Styela clava: one gene and its partner. The protein of the gene in region 2 purifies or fractionates together with the protein of the main gene of each other region. This does not show direct contact. Links are inferred from orthologs where the notes say so. Each region holds a gene or a part of one and is shown on either strand. Other genes may lie near its edges.

Region 1 (6,978 bases), on a different chromosome or scaffold from region 2:
ATTTATAATTCTCAGATCAAAAATCTACAGAGACGAACGGTAATTAGTAGAGAAGTGTGGCGATAAAACTTGCCACGGGCGCATGCATCCAACTGTATCTTTAACTGCATCGACTTGTTGTTTACTTACTAAACATCAAAGTGACTATTTGCTTAAGATTGGCTAATCAATAAGATGTAAATGTGACGTAACAATGGACATTTTAGCGGCCTCCCAGACACTTTTGTCACTCAGATAGATTTTCAAGCATGCATGGTTGTAAACATTACCTCGTATTTGCGTTGATGCACGCTATTTGTTAGTTGTGCATATCTACAAATAGCTGTGATAGACTAGGCTTACTGAAATTTTCTATCGTTGTTTTTAAATGATAGGTTGTTGAATATTGTGAATGAAATTGATCGTTTGAAACACTCGCGAAACTTCTTTTTAAATGAGCACCAAAAATGTTATGGTAAAGAATAGGTAGAATTTCCCCGAGGTCAAAGATCGTGGAAACATCCATTGTAGAGGCACGTTGGTATGTCTCGAAAAAATCTCTGGGCGTACAAGTTTAATTACGATTATGCTTTACTTCTGGAACTCGTTCTTGGCACGTTTCAGGTTTATCGTTTTAACGTTTTGAACCACGTGTTTTGATTTGCTATTGACCTTTGTACGCACACAACTTTAATGCATTCACTCGTGCTGCTGAGAGGGCTGGTACGTTCGAATCTTGTGTAGGCGAGAGAATTGTGGGTACGCTCCTCGCGCAAGTGCTGGTCGGTTACGACCGCCACCCAAATAAAGCGACCAACCAACTTGCTTTTGCCAAGACTGATGTCGAGAACACGTGACTAGCCGAATGACAACATGTTCTTATAGGCTTTCTCTGCTGAAACGAGTGTGAAAAAATAACCAATCCTATTTTAAAAACGGATGAGGAAGTCGTTCTGCAAACACTAGTATTTGGAGACTACAACGAAAGACGGGTGTCCTAAATATCTGGTGTCTATATATGGACACACATTTTAGTGACATCCCCTAAAGACAACAACACATTGATTGTGCCTTTAGTTCCATTCCAATATATAAAATTCTGTGTCATTCCTGGCATAGGGATTTACATAACGTGGCACGTGACCTCAAGAGAATTTGTTTATGATAATCAAAGTACACCACAATCAGACCGCACTGTCCGCAGCTAATTGAATAATAGCATTGTTGCTTATATACTTTTTCTATGGCTGAACTATCAAATAATAGAGTCCAGGCAACCGGAACTGCTGGTTTCTATATCAACATTGGTGAAGCAATTATAAAATGGATGCAAAATCTCTGCTCCAAGATGCTCTTTAATATCAGAAGCACAGAGGAACTCCTCATATAAAAATAGAAAAACCCCTAGAATATCTCATTATTAAGTACAGTACATCCTCCCTAGAGTTTATGTTATGTGACCATTTTACCTGTATGAGAAAAATCTTCTCTTGTATACATCAGTACTTGGTTTCAAACTATTATTTTGTCTTTACCATCACTCATGCTGTTTTTCAATGATTGCAGTATTAAAATTCATGCAGCCTTCATATAATTTGGACCCCAGACATTTAGAACTGGAACTGAACAATCCAGCAAGGCTGCACTTTGCTCTTAATCGATGAAATTTGTTTCATTTATTCATCATCAAGCCTGGAAACTTCTTTTTAATTGAATATCATTGAGAACTTGTAGTAGTTCCTCATCTTCAAATCGGCCTTCTAGACTGGGGATAAGTGCTTTAGCTTCTTCGGCAGTTTCAGGACATAAGTTCGCGAGAGATGCAAGCTCGAATTTATGGAGTTTCTTTTGAAGTAACAGGCTGCGAACACTTGCTATTGTTTCACGATTTTTAAATCGACTGAAACGCTGTGTGTAGTTCAGTGTTTTCATAAATACCTAAATAAAACAAAAAATAAATGAATAATGGGAACACTAAAAATATGGAAAAAATGTATTTTGCAACAGGATGTTGCTATTTATATCTCAATAATAATAGCAAAGACAACTATCCATAAGTTTCGTTCATCTTGTATGCGCTTTTTATGTAGCTATGCTTCATAAAATATAGTTCAGCATTTTCATATTTATTCTTGTTTCCAATTGTTGGGCAAGATTTATACCTCTGATAATTCTTGTTCTTCTTCAACATTTTCATTTTGCTGTTTCCGATGTTCAAGTAACATATGAACTTCCGAGTTGAGCAAAGTTTCTGCATTCTCAAATTCAGGAGGAAATTGTAGCTGCGATGCATCTTCTTCTTTGTCTTCCAACACAGAACTAAGAGCTTTTGTGGAGGAGGACGTCATGACAGAAATTTACAAAGAAATTATAAAGTATATAAATATTTTATCTGGATAAATATAAGATATCATCTTCAATGCCATTTTGTGGCATAATTTAGGACTTAAATAACTTTATTTCTACAATGGGAAACAAGCATGGCAGAAAAAGGGTTCAATTGGACTAACTATAACACAATCAAGCATTTTTCACTGTTCGTCAAGTAAACAAAATTCAAAATAGAAAATCCAATAAAAAATTCTGCATGCAAAAAAATGAATGTAATGTAGTTCTAAACTGATACCATACATCTTTCACAAAATTGCTATATTTGTGAGGTAGTTTTCCACTGAGAAGACCTGTCCCACCAGTACTGTAATTTATGAAATATCCAACATGCAGAATACTTTAATCGCTTTTTGCAAAATAATCTTCTTCTTTAGTTAATCCAGTCATTTGTTCACATACTTTCCAAAGTTTCAGACCAGTTTCTGAATCTGTTGCAACTGCTTTTAATTGTCTCATCCTCATATTTGAGAAATACCCTCCACTTTTTTCCTTGAGTCCTTTTTGAAGGCAACAGTACAAAATGGTTTGGCAGCCATAAAAAAGTGGACGCATGAAGCAAGCTTTTAGTATCAAGTGGCCAACCTTCATCAAGGTATTATGGATTGCTCCTGTACCAAGTTCACTGGCAATCACACCAGGATGAAGAGCATAGGTTGATATAGAACTGTTTTCTGGATCCTCGGATCTCAGTCTTTTATTCAGTTCTGTTGTAAAATATACATTCATCAATTTTGTATTTGAATATTGTTGAATTATCTGCTGATAAGGGCTTTCCTTGGTAAGTCCTAAATTTATATTACCAAAGTCAATTTTTCCAATTGTATATAAATCAGCACTGACATTTACTATTCGAACATGTTGGGAATCTGATGAACTTTTCAAAAGTGGAATTAAAAGATTAGTTAAAAGAAAAGGTCCGAGTTGATTTGTTGCTAAAATAATATCATTCCCATCATTTGTCATTCCAGGAACAGCAACACCTGCATTGTTTATTAAAATGTCCAGCCTAGGTTCTGTATCAATGAAATTCCTCACAAATCTTCTTACATCCGCAAAATCTGATAAATCCAGCTTCATGTAGTGCACCATATCGTTTCCACTCTGGCTCTTGATATCAAAAATAGCTTCTGACGCACGCTGTTCATTTCTACTGGCGATAATTACCCGTGCCTTGCGTTTTGCAAGTTGTAGAGCTGTCTCTTTTCCTATTCCATAACTTCCACCGGTAATAAGGACAGTTTTTCCGTCAATTTCCAAATCATTCTTGAATACGGGTCCTGTTTTGACAAACTTCATCCACGCATAAGTTATGATAATGAGTAAACAACTCAGCGCTACCAATAGACCACCATCCATTGCATTCGGGAATCCATATAGGCCGCGAGCCGAGGCCATTTATCTTTCAGTTTCGTAGCGCACATCAGGTAACTACCTGAAAATGATTTTAAAATGTTCCTTAGAAATTTAGTAACAAATATTGCCTTGTTCCCACTTCCAAAAGTTGCACGTTTTACAGAAAAGACGCTTTTACTACAATAAATATGTGTTACCATCTGTCCTATTTTCTCTGCTTTTCCGGTATCATGGGCCAATGAACGCAGACTTCTGCACGACGTAACAGTCAAGTTAGTCAGCTGTAGGTGGATCCCCAGTGGTCGGATGAATATCAGATGTACTCAACTGCTCGCTTTTGCGTTGAGTAGCCTTTCCATAGTTTTTTTCAGTTACCGGTAATATTAGTCCAGTTATTCTAAGGAGGTGTTGAAAAGTATAGGTAAGATATTAAACACTTGTATATCCTTGCCATAAATAGCAATTTTAGTTGAGCACTAGCTCATAAGACGTTGTTAAATAGGTACCGTACGGTGCGGTAACTCCAAGGAAGGCTAGACCTAGAATAATATGTCACAAACAACGATATTTTCTGGCTTGCATGAAATGTTTATGATTAATTTAATGACTCTTCTTGACTATTCAGCAGACTTATACTACTATATAGGCCACAGCATATTTGGAAATAGAAATGAATGGCTGTTTCTGTAATGCACGGTTGTGTGAAAGAGAAGAAATTAATCAATTTTACTAATGTCGGTTGGTCTAAATCTAAATTCATAGAGTCGACAAGAACCTGGGAAGCAATGATAAGTTATGCCGGAGTGGAAAGAAAGGTAGCATTGGAAATGATTGAGAGGTGAGAAATGAAGTTGTAGACAAACAGTTGATGTTTCAAAATATAGTCTATAGTCCATACTCATACTGTCATAGGACATTTCAGACTGTGATATATCAAAATTTAGTGTAGATATAGTCTAGTAATGGTATGCAAACACTGCTGGACTGTAGAACATGCAATGAGCATATATACGCTCATTTAGTACATCAGATAAAATGCATTATGTATTCAAGGTATTAGTTAGTATTTAGGGGTATTTTTAAAATCATGCTGCTCCAAATATTATTTTCTTCCTTATTTTAGATACTGTACTACAAAAGAAAACGGCAATGTTCCACCAATCCGACCTAACGCAGGCTCTGATCCCTGCTGCTATCAGTGCTATAAAATGGATTAAACAAGAAGTCTTGAAGCTTAAAGGTATATGAGAATCATAATAGTTGCAAACAGCTTAGATGGGCTATTCATATTGAAATACTTTAGCACTTTTCTGCAATTGGAACTGCCCATCAAATTCATGTTGGAGACTTCATTGAGATTTTCAATTCATTTTTTTCCCTCGACTATGAAGATCTTTTGAGGTTAACGAGGTATTAATAAATAAAGCTGAGGAATTTGAAGAGGATATGAAGAATGTAAATGATACCAGGGCACGTCTATTTAACACTGTCAAACATAAGGATTATACTCTCCACCCAACAATGATTCACTGAAGAAGCATGTGGCCCTCAAATCAGTTCTTGAGTTGGCAAACTGCAAAGAAAAATAGTCAAAATAATTTATGAAAGTGTGGCAAAATCAACTTAAATTGCACAGATTTTTGTTTTTGTATTGACTGCAGAAATCACAGTACACCTATAGAGGAAAAGTCGAATTTTGAGATAGTGGATTTCGAAAACAATTCAGAAGAAAGTGAATTAGATATTACAGTTGATTTAATAAGTATCATACATTTGTTTTTTTTTTCGGACATTTGTTAGTGTCGTAGTCCTGTTTCTAGAAATATTATTGCCTTTGTTCAAATACATAACCACATAAACTAAAAAAAGATTAATTGTAAATTGTAATATTTCTGTTCACTATGTTATGTACATATTGTACATTCATTTAATTTTCTTGACTTTTGCGGTAAATTTCTAAGTGAGAAATAACTGATTTATTTGTGTTTTCGTGCTCACGATGTTAATTTGTGACTTCATTGCTTAAAAATAAATACGTTTGATACTTGATAGCTTCTATAAAATGGATGTAGCTTTTTATGCTGTTCTTGTTGTAAACTGCTTGTGGTTATTACATAAAATTTATTCTCAAATGTGAATCAGCGTTGTTGGTGTCGCTGCTTTCGAGGTCACTCCCGACTCCTGTCACACAATTAAAGTATTTTTTGTTGTTGGTTACATGTATGCCATATTTTTCGTAATCTACCTAATAAATTATGATTGACTGAGGAAGTCCGATTTTGGTCAGGCAAAACATTACAGGAATACATTTGTGTTAGTGTGCTGTAGGGCTCTCGAATTGTATAGTTCTTATGTATGCGTTGTAAACTTATGGTTATTGAATTTCCGGGAACCTCTTATATTCAATTTCGCACCAGGATTGTGGAACAAGCTGTAATGCGTTCATTATGTTCGTTTTCACACAAAACTGAAGAATTTATTTAGTTACCAGATGTGCGCTACGAAACTCATTTTCTGGGCGTTTTCATGGTTTCGTCTCACGGCCCATATCCGTGGTAAGGATCTACAAGTGTTTAATAATTTACTTATACATTTTTCAACAACGTCTTAGCATAACTTAACTAATAATAACTAAACAGGGCTATGGAAAGCCTGCCCAACTCAGCGCAAGGTCGAGCAGAAATAACTAATATTCATCCGCTCGCTAACAGCTGGTTTAATTCAATTGTTACGTCATGCAGAAGTTGTAGAGTTAAGAGGTTCTACAGGTCCTATTTCTGATTATTGGGCTGTCTTGTCAATCTACTTCCGTAGCTAACTCTCGACACAGTAGTAACGCACACATAAACACATCCAACTTGTATGAAAGAACTTGTAATGAAAGTATATTTACAGTATATACAAGTCACAGTCCAGTAAAATTCCACAATCAGGTTAAAAGTTCCACAGTAGATAGATAAATTTCCACAGCAAGTATAACGGCAGTGTAACACAGTGAATGTCAAAACTTGATGTCTGTATGTAAATGTATTGTATGTGTATTGTATGATGTGTTGTATGATGTGGTTACAATATATTTGTGTCTCCAGCCCAACAACAGTACTTAAATTTAGCTACAAGACACAAAAACAATAAAAGAGTATAATTAGCCTTCGACATACAACTCAATTAGAACCTATATTACTAAATAACCCTAAACATCCTAACAATCCTAAATTAGCATAATCAAAACCCTACAATTTGCAACTCAATGCC
Region 2 (8,722 bases):
GGAATAAATCTATTGTTGATGGGCCACCCACCCATTTACCTTTTATTTAATCCTAATCTAAAAAAAATTCAATTTAATGTCTGATGATTTAATATTATATTGTATGAATCTTGACATACCAATAATCTAGAAAGATATTTTAATTCTATTTGTGCGTTGTGGCCTTTTTCCTCTACGCTCCTGAAATCATTCATCGAAACTTGCTTTGACATAATACTGTTAATCAGAGTATTTTTATGTTCTGTGTCCATTTGGTATCAAATGGTACCAGTTGGTTGTGTTTTTCTCAAAACAATTTTAGTGTAAATTATTTCATTCAAATAGGCTACAAATCTGACCTGGTTTAGCATTTGCAAACTTGTCGCCAAAATTTGACAATATTTTCGAAATTAGTATCTGAAAATATAACAATGTGCATGGAAAAAAATTGAGAAATTTAAACAGTTTCTTTTGCACAGCTGGACTTTCTGAAAAACATTTTACTGAACATTTCATCGTGATATTGAATTGCTTGCATGGCAACCAATATTTTTTTCATCCAAATGTGAAAAATTAAGTTTTAATCGACTGACCGAATTCACTATTCGAATACATTTAAAAAAACTTATATTTCAAAGTATAGAATTCACTTTACATTGGAATTTTTGGAATCAATTCGTCTCCATGAAAACTTGAAAAAGCTATATTTATCGCTGGCTTTTACAACATTGTTAACCAGAGAGTTTTCACATAAAAATATCTCAATTCTCTTATTGGAATAATTTTTAAAATGTTATCGAATGTTGGCTTCGGTCATCCATTTTGTAATGCTATAACTTCTCGATTTATTTCGTGGGTTGGGGTGTTAGAGATTATTCAGTGCACAGTTAATTTTCATACTCAAGACGGAATTCTGTTGAATTGTTCAACTATTTTCAGTTTAAATATAATTTTCGGGATTTACTGCAATGTAGAACCGTAATATCTGTTCTTAGATCTATTGCGAAATAAAACTGCTCAATTGATAGGGTCTCACAAACAACGCATTTCCCATATTAAGTTACTACAAATAAATTTGTATAAATTGTGATTATTTTCCAGTTGTAATTTCAATTGAAAGTGTTTTAATTCTGGCTGCTAGTGTCTTTCATCACCCCTTTTGGTCTCCCCGTCCCCACTGTAACTACTGTATTATATATTGCATTTACTGCATATTCAGAAAAGATCTCCGATTGAAGACATGTTAATTATGAAAATTGAGTCTGTGTTTTTTCGATTGAGTCGTTGGGTAGGTATTAGGAAGCAGGCTGGGATTAAGTCAGTTGGGTGCGATGACGTAACGGTTCGCGATTCGACTGAGTTTCGTTGGCATTGCAGTTTTCGTGGTGACTGTACATTTAAACCCATGTGTATATCCGCGGGTTCAAACTATGTGCAGGTGCTGAAACCCGTAGGTTAGGGTTAGTATTCCATAGGTGCAGTAGTATGCGGGTGCAATTGTCGTGGGTTCAAATGTCCATGTTTGGAGCGATAAGGGCCGAAGAAAAAATTAACATAAAGGTGGGACGGTCGATAGTTTGATTTGAATTTCGAACAGAAGGTTACTATATGCCTTGGCCTGTCTGTTTGTCGTATTTCCATGTGATGCCTGTAGGGTCCTCTTATTTTCATAGGCAGCGCTCTCGAGGTGTATATCTATTCAATTGCGGACATGATTCTCCCTGGCACCTTAGCTCGGTTCCAAATACTTCTGGCTTCCTGCTATCTGTATATGCTCGTTTTACCGTCCGATCCTGATTAAGGGCTCGTTTGAATAGCCGCCCGTGTGAACAGAACATGAAAATAAGTAAGGGCCGGTGCTTGAATACTCGCCTGATGTAAAAGCTGATTTTTCAGTGGTAGAGAACAATGGGAAATAAAAAGCGCTTTTGTCACAACGCTGTTGAATTTTAAGCGCTGGTAGATAACACTCACGCCTTATGCGTCCAATTACATAACAGATAGCCTTGATTACTCAAACTGGGCGTCTGCGACTACCAAGTGCGTCGTTTCAATATTGATAGGGCGTCGCAATTTTTACTTTAAAAATAACAAGCGCCTGTGCTTGAATAAGGGCCCGGTTAGTGAGTTTGGTTAAAAAAATATGGGCCCGGGCTACAAAACGAGCAAATACGGTATATAAGAATACCCAGTCATGTTTTGAAGCGTTTTTACCAGTTATTTTATGACCCATTTCAATTGTAGAAAAGCCAACAAACGTAACAAAAAATAAATGCATTACATTCCAAGAAATCGACTTTCTTTTCCATGAAGATGAGTGTGTGAACTCAATCCTACTCAATGTTGGTTATGGATAAGTCGGGTTATGCCCCACCATTCTCTGTTAATCTTGGTAGGAAATTTGTAAGATAAGCAGATGGAGGTCGGTGAATAACCTAACATATAAGATAAACAACACAGAAAATTTAGCGTTGGGCAATGACAGTATAGTGCCCGATAAAATATTCCAATATTACAGAATATTAGCAAGCATATCGCACCGCTGACAGTGCGTTTTTTGAGTTATTATTCTGGCAGGAAATCCTGTCGACAGAATTGGAGAAATGTTTGTTTGTATTCTATCAAGTGCTCAACATAGAAAAATATCACAAGTTGAGCATCGTTTATCTATTATTCAAGCTTGGGAAATATATCCAATTGACAGACTGCGAAACGGTGAATGCACGTTCCGGCAAAGTAGGAATTTTTGGTAGTAATTACAACGTTTTTGATAGTATTTGCAACGTTTTTTGGTGGAAAAAGTGGGTTTGTTGGGAAGATATTGTTCCATGCACGATTGATGGTCGAAACCCATGTATTCAGAGGTAATTTGAATTTAATATATTAATAGACATGATATGTTCTGGGTTAGGATAGGAATTTAAATTGAGAAATGGGGAGAGTATTTAAAATAAGATTCTTGATATGTTTTGGGTCAGGATAGATGTATTACTTTGGCAAATGGTTAGAGTAAACATGTGTCAGTGTGTAATTATGGAGTCGAAATAAACTTATACAAGTGTGATTCATGGTAAGCTATGGGTTGGGGCTGTAGGGTGGAATAGAATAGCTACAGGAGTGGTGACTCAGGCAGGGGCCACGGCCCATCTAATTTGGCCACATGGGCCGTGGCCCATCAAGCTATGGGCCGCGGCCCCATCGGGAAAAATTCAATTATCTTACTAAAATTTTCAATTTTTACAATATTGTCAATATTCGAACCGAAAAAAAATCGCGAGATGCCAGCAAATTTTTTTCTTACGGTAAGCCTCTATATTTAAATTAAGCAAAATACCAAACAACAGAAAAGAATAGCCTACTCCTGTAGTATGTGTACCAGGTTAGGGTTAGGACAAAATCTTGTTCAAAATTTTTCACATTATAGTTCTATTATGAGTGTGGTGACTGACTGTGTTAGCCAAGTAAATAGTCCATTTACACAACTTGATGGGCCGTAGACTGGTAGAGGAATCACCACTTCCACTCTAGAATAGGTAGGAATAGCTATAAAGCTCCCATCCAGTGGCTAGGTATGACATGGTATTTTTTGGGTTAGGCAAAACTAGGGGTTCAGGTGTAGTTTAGTACGGTACCACATACAGACATATACTTCTAATTTGAAAAGCTATATGACGTGATTGTGACGTCGTAGTTATGTAAATTTTGGATGACATAGTCAAGTGGGGTTAATAATACTGTAATAACATATGCAAAAATAATTTTGTCCAGCCCACTAGGCTTGTTGTACTATACTACGTTAAACCCAAGTTAGGATAGATATGAAAATTTAGTCACGTTTTGATTGAGTAATCATATGTTTGCTCGGTATCAGATGCTAGAAATACGCTCTGTCATTGCACCTCTGACTACCCTGCATGGGTTCGCAGGTCGAATGCTGTGGGGGAAAAAATGTCCTGAGAGGATTGCTGGCCTTCCCGCCGCCGTAGGCCATATCACGTAACCGCTGAATGATTTAAACAGCACAAGGCTCAACTAAATATGGAAAGAGTACTGACAAATTGCAAGTGCCATTCATTTGCTAAATTCAGTTTGCCCGATAGAGATATCAGTGGTTGACACAAGTAGACAGTGGTCTACATCTGGGTTTCTTGAACTGGGGTTCGTGATGGCTCCACGAGGGTCCGCAACGAAATGAAAAGATTACGAAATATACATTTAATGGTGCTCCCGAAGTATGCGAACCAAGATGGCGGACATCGGAACGTAACATGGGTAACAGGTTAGGGTTAGGCGATAATTTCTTTCCAATTTTCCTTATTTTAGTCCTATTATCAGTTCGAAGACTAGCCAAGAGCCTCCCGTAGTATTTATACCTAAAATTATGGCCTAACCCTAACCTAGTACACATATTACATTCCGATGTTCGTCATCTTGGTTCGCATACTTTGGGAGCCCCCATTTAATATCATGTAGGCTATATATCCATTGTCACGTAGCGATTCGTAAACAAGATAATGTCGTAAGTTCAGGCGATCGCAAATCGTAATTGTTACGAAACCAATGGAAGTGAAAAAATTATAGTAAAACGATCCTTGCTTCCAGTGTCTGTGAGGTGGACCTTCATCGGGGAGCAACGAATATAAAAGTATTTATTGCACTATAGCATTGGTTTCCAGCTTTTTATATCCTGTGGCCCCCATTCGGAGACTTTTAGCACTCATGGCCCTCCTGTTTATCACTTCAGTGGTATTTATGATGTTATTTTGATTTGGAACAATATTTCCCTGCCTCATCTGATATTCAAATTTTCTGTATTCCAGCGACCACCTTGTATATGAGCATGTCTTGAATCTTTTCTTGGATTTTTATTTTCTGTATATTTTATTGTTTATATTGCCTTGTATAAATCAGAATAATTAATATTTTATCTTAATAATGTTGTTGAACTTTCTTATCAGGATTTGAAATAATATTGTTGTAAAAAAATTTATTTGTTTCTTGCTTTGTTTTAAGGAATATTGTAGATAAAACTAGTTTATACTGGTTTGAACCAGTTAAAACCGAGATAATCCAGCTGTGAATTGTCTGATTATATCTCAAGCTATCTGACAACAGTTTGTCTTGTTTATCATCCCGTGCAAATTGGAGCAGACGAAACCAGTCTAATCCAGTATGAGCGAGTCAGAACCGGTTAGTCCACTTCCAGATGGTTGGATAAAGAAGGAAAGCAGATCATCAGGTAGTTATGACTCACAATTGAAGGATTTTAACCAAGCATTATTTTAGTCCAGTGGTTCTCAAACGGTGGCGCCCCCCCCGAATGGGGGTATGGGCAATTTTTCGAGGGGGCTCGAAGCTAATTGAAAATGGTAAAAAAATGTTAGATTTGATCTTGCCTGCCTTATTTTGGATATTTTACATTTCGAAACTTTTTATTCGTATCAATATGTACGTTCCATCCACATATTTTCAACGTGCTTTTCAAATAAATCATACTTTTGCCTTACTATCTGTTATTTGTAGCTTATTGTTAGCTAGTTATTTTAGAGGTGGGACATGAAATTTGACAAATTCTAAAAAGGGGGCGTGGCTCAAAAAGTTTGAGAACCACCGTCCTAGTACATTTTATTTATTTATTCAAGACATTTGAAACGTCCATATAAAATGACAAACAAAAAACAATAATTAATAATAAATAAGGGGAAGTAAATAGTACAGAAAATGCATTATATAGGATTTACATATTCATCCCGGGAGGAGAGGAAAGCCTATAAAGTGGCTTGATTACATGGCGAACCACGGCCTCTTGTCTGTTTCCATACTATGTCGGGTATAGAATTAGTTATCCAGTATGCGAATCCTATACCTAACGTTTACCACGCTGCGCCACACTGCTGTGTGTGCAACGTGCAGACATGCAACATATATATATATATATATACAGAGAATCTGTGATTGTGCAAGTATCTTGAATTCCAATTTTTTGTCATTTTTGTCAACTTTCTTTTTGTGCTTCTCAGGGAGACATTACTATGTGAACAAATACACGAATGCGAGTCAATGGGACAGACCAACCTCAGAAGCAGTGAAACCAGCAAGACCAGAGGTAGGAGATGATTTTTTTTTTTTTCTTGAGTGAAAGGAAAGCTGATGAACCGTGTTTGGAAGCTCGAGCGATCACAAGTCAACAGTTATCTAAGATGAATATAATAAAATATAATCATAAGTTGCAAGAGTTTCCAACAAAGGAATTGAAATTTGCTGTTGTAAATATAGCTATCAATCGGAGTTATGTAAGACTATGGAATCGCTTTTCTTGTCTTTGTTGACATGCTTGTCTAGCGAGGACAAATTATTAATCAATTGTGTCAGTGGACCAGGTGAATAGCCAGGAATAATTGAAGGAGGGAGATCTGGAATTTTTATTAATTGTCGAGTTGGACCATAGCAGCCAGCGAGTCCGACTGGACGACCCTGACTTTGTCCCAGTGTGAGAATAGCTGGGCGGATGCATGAACTAGACTAGTGAAGGGAGTCTTTCTATTAACAGTGTGATTGCTGTTTAATGAGATTGAGACCAAATTGGGAAAAATGGGTAAAGTGAGAGAAATATTAGTCCTAGTAAATCGAACGTCTCACCTAAGTAATCTGGAGAAATATTCCCCAAACTCTGTAAAGTCTGCATATGTTTAGGTGGATGCTTGCCCAGAGCCATCTTCACAAAATTGCTATGTATGATACATAATGGGGTGTACTAGGGCAGGGGTGTGCAAACTGTGGCCCGCGGGCCAAATGCGGCCCCCAAGGAAATATTGTGCGGCCCGCTGAGAAGTGCCAATTTTGAATAGTGTGCCCGCAAAAAGAATTTTTAGTTTAGTTATTGTGACACGTGCGAGAAATTTTAATCACTTTACGTCGCAAAGCCAGTACCCGAGTGCCACTGTCATATTAGCAAAACTAGCTAGCAAAAACAGTTTTTGTGTGTGAAACTACTATAAACTATATCTTAAATAAAAGTACAGCCTGTGACTTCACTCAATCACTTGAATCTGGCCTTCCTGTAATAAAGGTTGCACACCCCTGTACTAGGGTATTGTGTATTGAACTGCAGGTCCTTTCTCCTTGTTTACTTTATATTCCGGATCCGTATGTGGCTGTTGCCACAAGGATGTGTGACTGAGATAGTATTATGAAGATAAATAAAAATAACATAATCTCTTTCCACGAAATATTAAGTATATTATATAGTATATAGCTATTTGATTAGGCCATATCTTGTTTTATCTGGAGAAGTTGGACTATGATCTAACGCAGTGGTCGGCAACCTTTTTCCAGTAACAGACCGGTAAAGCCTGACCAAAATTTTGTAATAAATAATATGCGTTAGAAAATGTATGTTGACAATACATTCAAAAACAAAGGTGATACTATTCATGTAACGTATTTCTCACTCACGTTAAACCCACTTCGATCTTTCGTTTTTGTAATTGCCATTTTAAAAACCCAACCTCACATGAAGATAACAATGGCATTGTACGTTTTCATGTCACCATTCTGCGGACCGGTAGTGACCTTTCCACGGATCAGCCGCGGCCCGGTGGTTGCCGACCACTGATCTAACGACAAATATAAAATATACTTGATATCACAAATATACTTGATATTTCATGGAAAGAGATTATGTTATTTTTATGATACATAAAATTGCTTTTTTATATTTCATTTGGGGGTCAGACCCTCAAAAACCCCTGTAGTGGCAGCAAGCCCCCTTAATCACAAAGAATAGTCCTCTGTTTATGACATGAAACTCAGAAGGAATATTTTATTCCTTTTGATATATATAAGTTAGTATATTTTTGTTTTGTAATTTGTAACATCAGGCAGTGAAATTTGAAATGACCTAATTTGACTAATTTCAGATACTGTGGAAAATAATATGCAATTTGATGTAAATTTAATTCAAAAAACCATTTCCCTTTTAGTTTGAACATTCTGAATTTTCTGTTGTGATTTGAATATGTTGTTCATTGAGCAAGTTGACTGCTACAAATGTACAAATCTTTGTGCACAGTGAAAGTGAATGTACAGTGCCGTATTTCTCAACCTTTGGTTCATCACCCAAAACTGTCCTGAGTTATTTCATTTAGATGGGGGCTTGCCAAGTTGGGTGTAGTGACCCCATAGAGGGTGCGCAAGGAATATTAGGGTACGCAAAGCCCCAAGGGTTGAATGGTATGTTTTATCTTCAGGAAGTAATTAAAAAAAATAGAAATTTGTTATGCAAATTCAACGTTACTCAAATTTCATGAGACCATATGGTTAAAAAGCTTTCTTCTTATTAGGCTCTGTCAAGTATGAAATATAAATAGACTATAGTACAATAGCTTGCCAAGTTTGGGAGAGATCATAGACCAGATTTTACTCACTGGTGCAGCCAGGGATGGTGAAAACCAAATAAATGCTTTTTCTAGACACTTATCGTATTTATTCGAGTATAACTCGAAAAATTGCTGGACGTGTTGCTGGACGAATTTTTTTTCTACAAAAAACTACTCTTGATATTTGCCTCGATTAATGCAAAGCCATCTTGCTTTTGAAACATAATTGCTGAACAGCTGGCTTTTGATTTTCAAATTTCAATTTTATTTTTGTGCGGTCAGGAACGGTCCATTGATAAAAAGATATAAAAGTCATAGCACAGTCAAATTGCTGACTCGTGTGGCCTATTCACTCCAAAGACAGG

Evidence for each region. Proteins that work in one complex are often made in the same cells at the same time.
Region 1: the proteins of peptidyl-prolyl cis-trans isomerase NIMA-interacting 1-like (region 2) and DNA-directed RNA polymerase II subunit RPB4-like purify together in Homo sapiens (co-immunoprecipitation; 3 studies listed by BioGRID and IntAct, with this or other methods). This does not show direct contact. The link is inferred for Styela clava from reciprocal best matches to the Homo sapiens genes PIN1 and POLR2D.

What each region holds. Positions count from the first base shown.
Region 1 is NC_135263.1:10,962,121-10,969,098, forward strand, and holds DNA-directed RNA polymerase II subunit RPB4-like, read right to left. Parts: upstream 2,337-6,978; 5' UTR 2,328-2,336; coding exon 2,142-2,327; intron 1,918-2,141; coding exon 1,666-1,917; 3' UTR 1,317-1,665; downstream 1-1,316. Other genes in the region: dehydrogenase/reductase SDR family member 13-like, read right to left, coding at 2,710-3,726. UniProt on the Homo sapiens protein: Core component of RNA polymerase II (Pol II), a DNA-dependent RNA polymerase which synthesizes mRNA precursors and many functional non-coding RNAs using the four ribonucleoside triphosphates as substrates.
Region 2 is NC_135254.1:5,014,701-5,023,422, forward strand, and holds the start of peptidyl-prolyl cis-trans isomerase NIMA-interacting 1-like, read left to right. Parts: upstream 1-4,967; 5' UTR 4,968-5,151; coding exon 5,152-5,218; intron 5,219-5,999; coding exon 6,000-6,085; intron 6,086-8,722. UniProt on the Homo sapiens protein: Peptidyl-prolyl cis/trans isomerase (PPIase) that binds to and isomerizes specific phosphorylated Ser/Thr-Pro (pSer/Thr-Pro) motifs.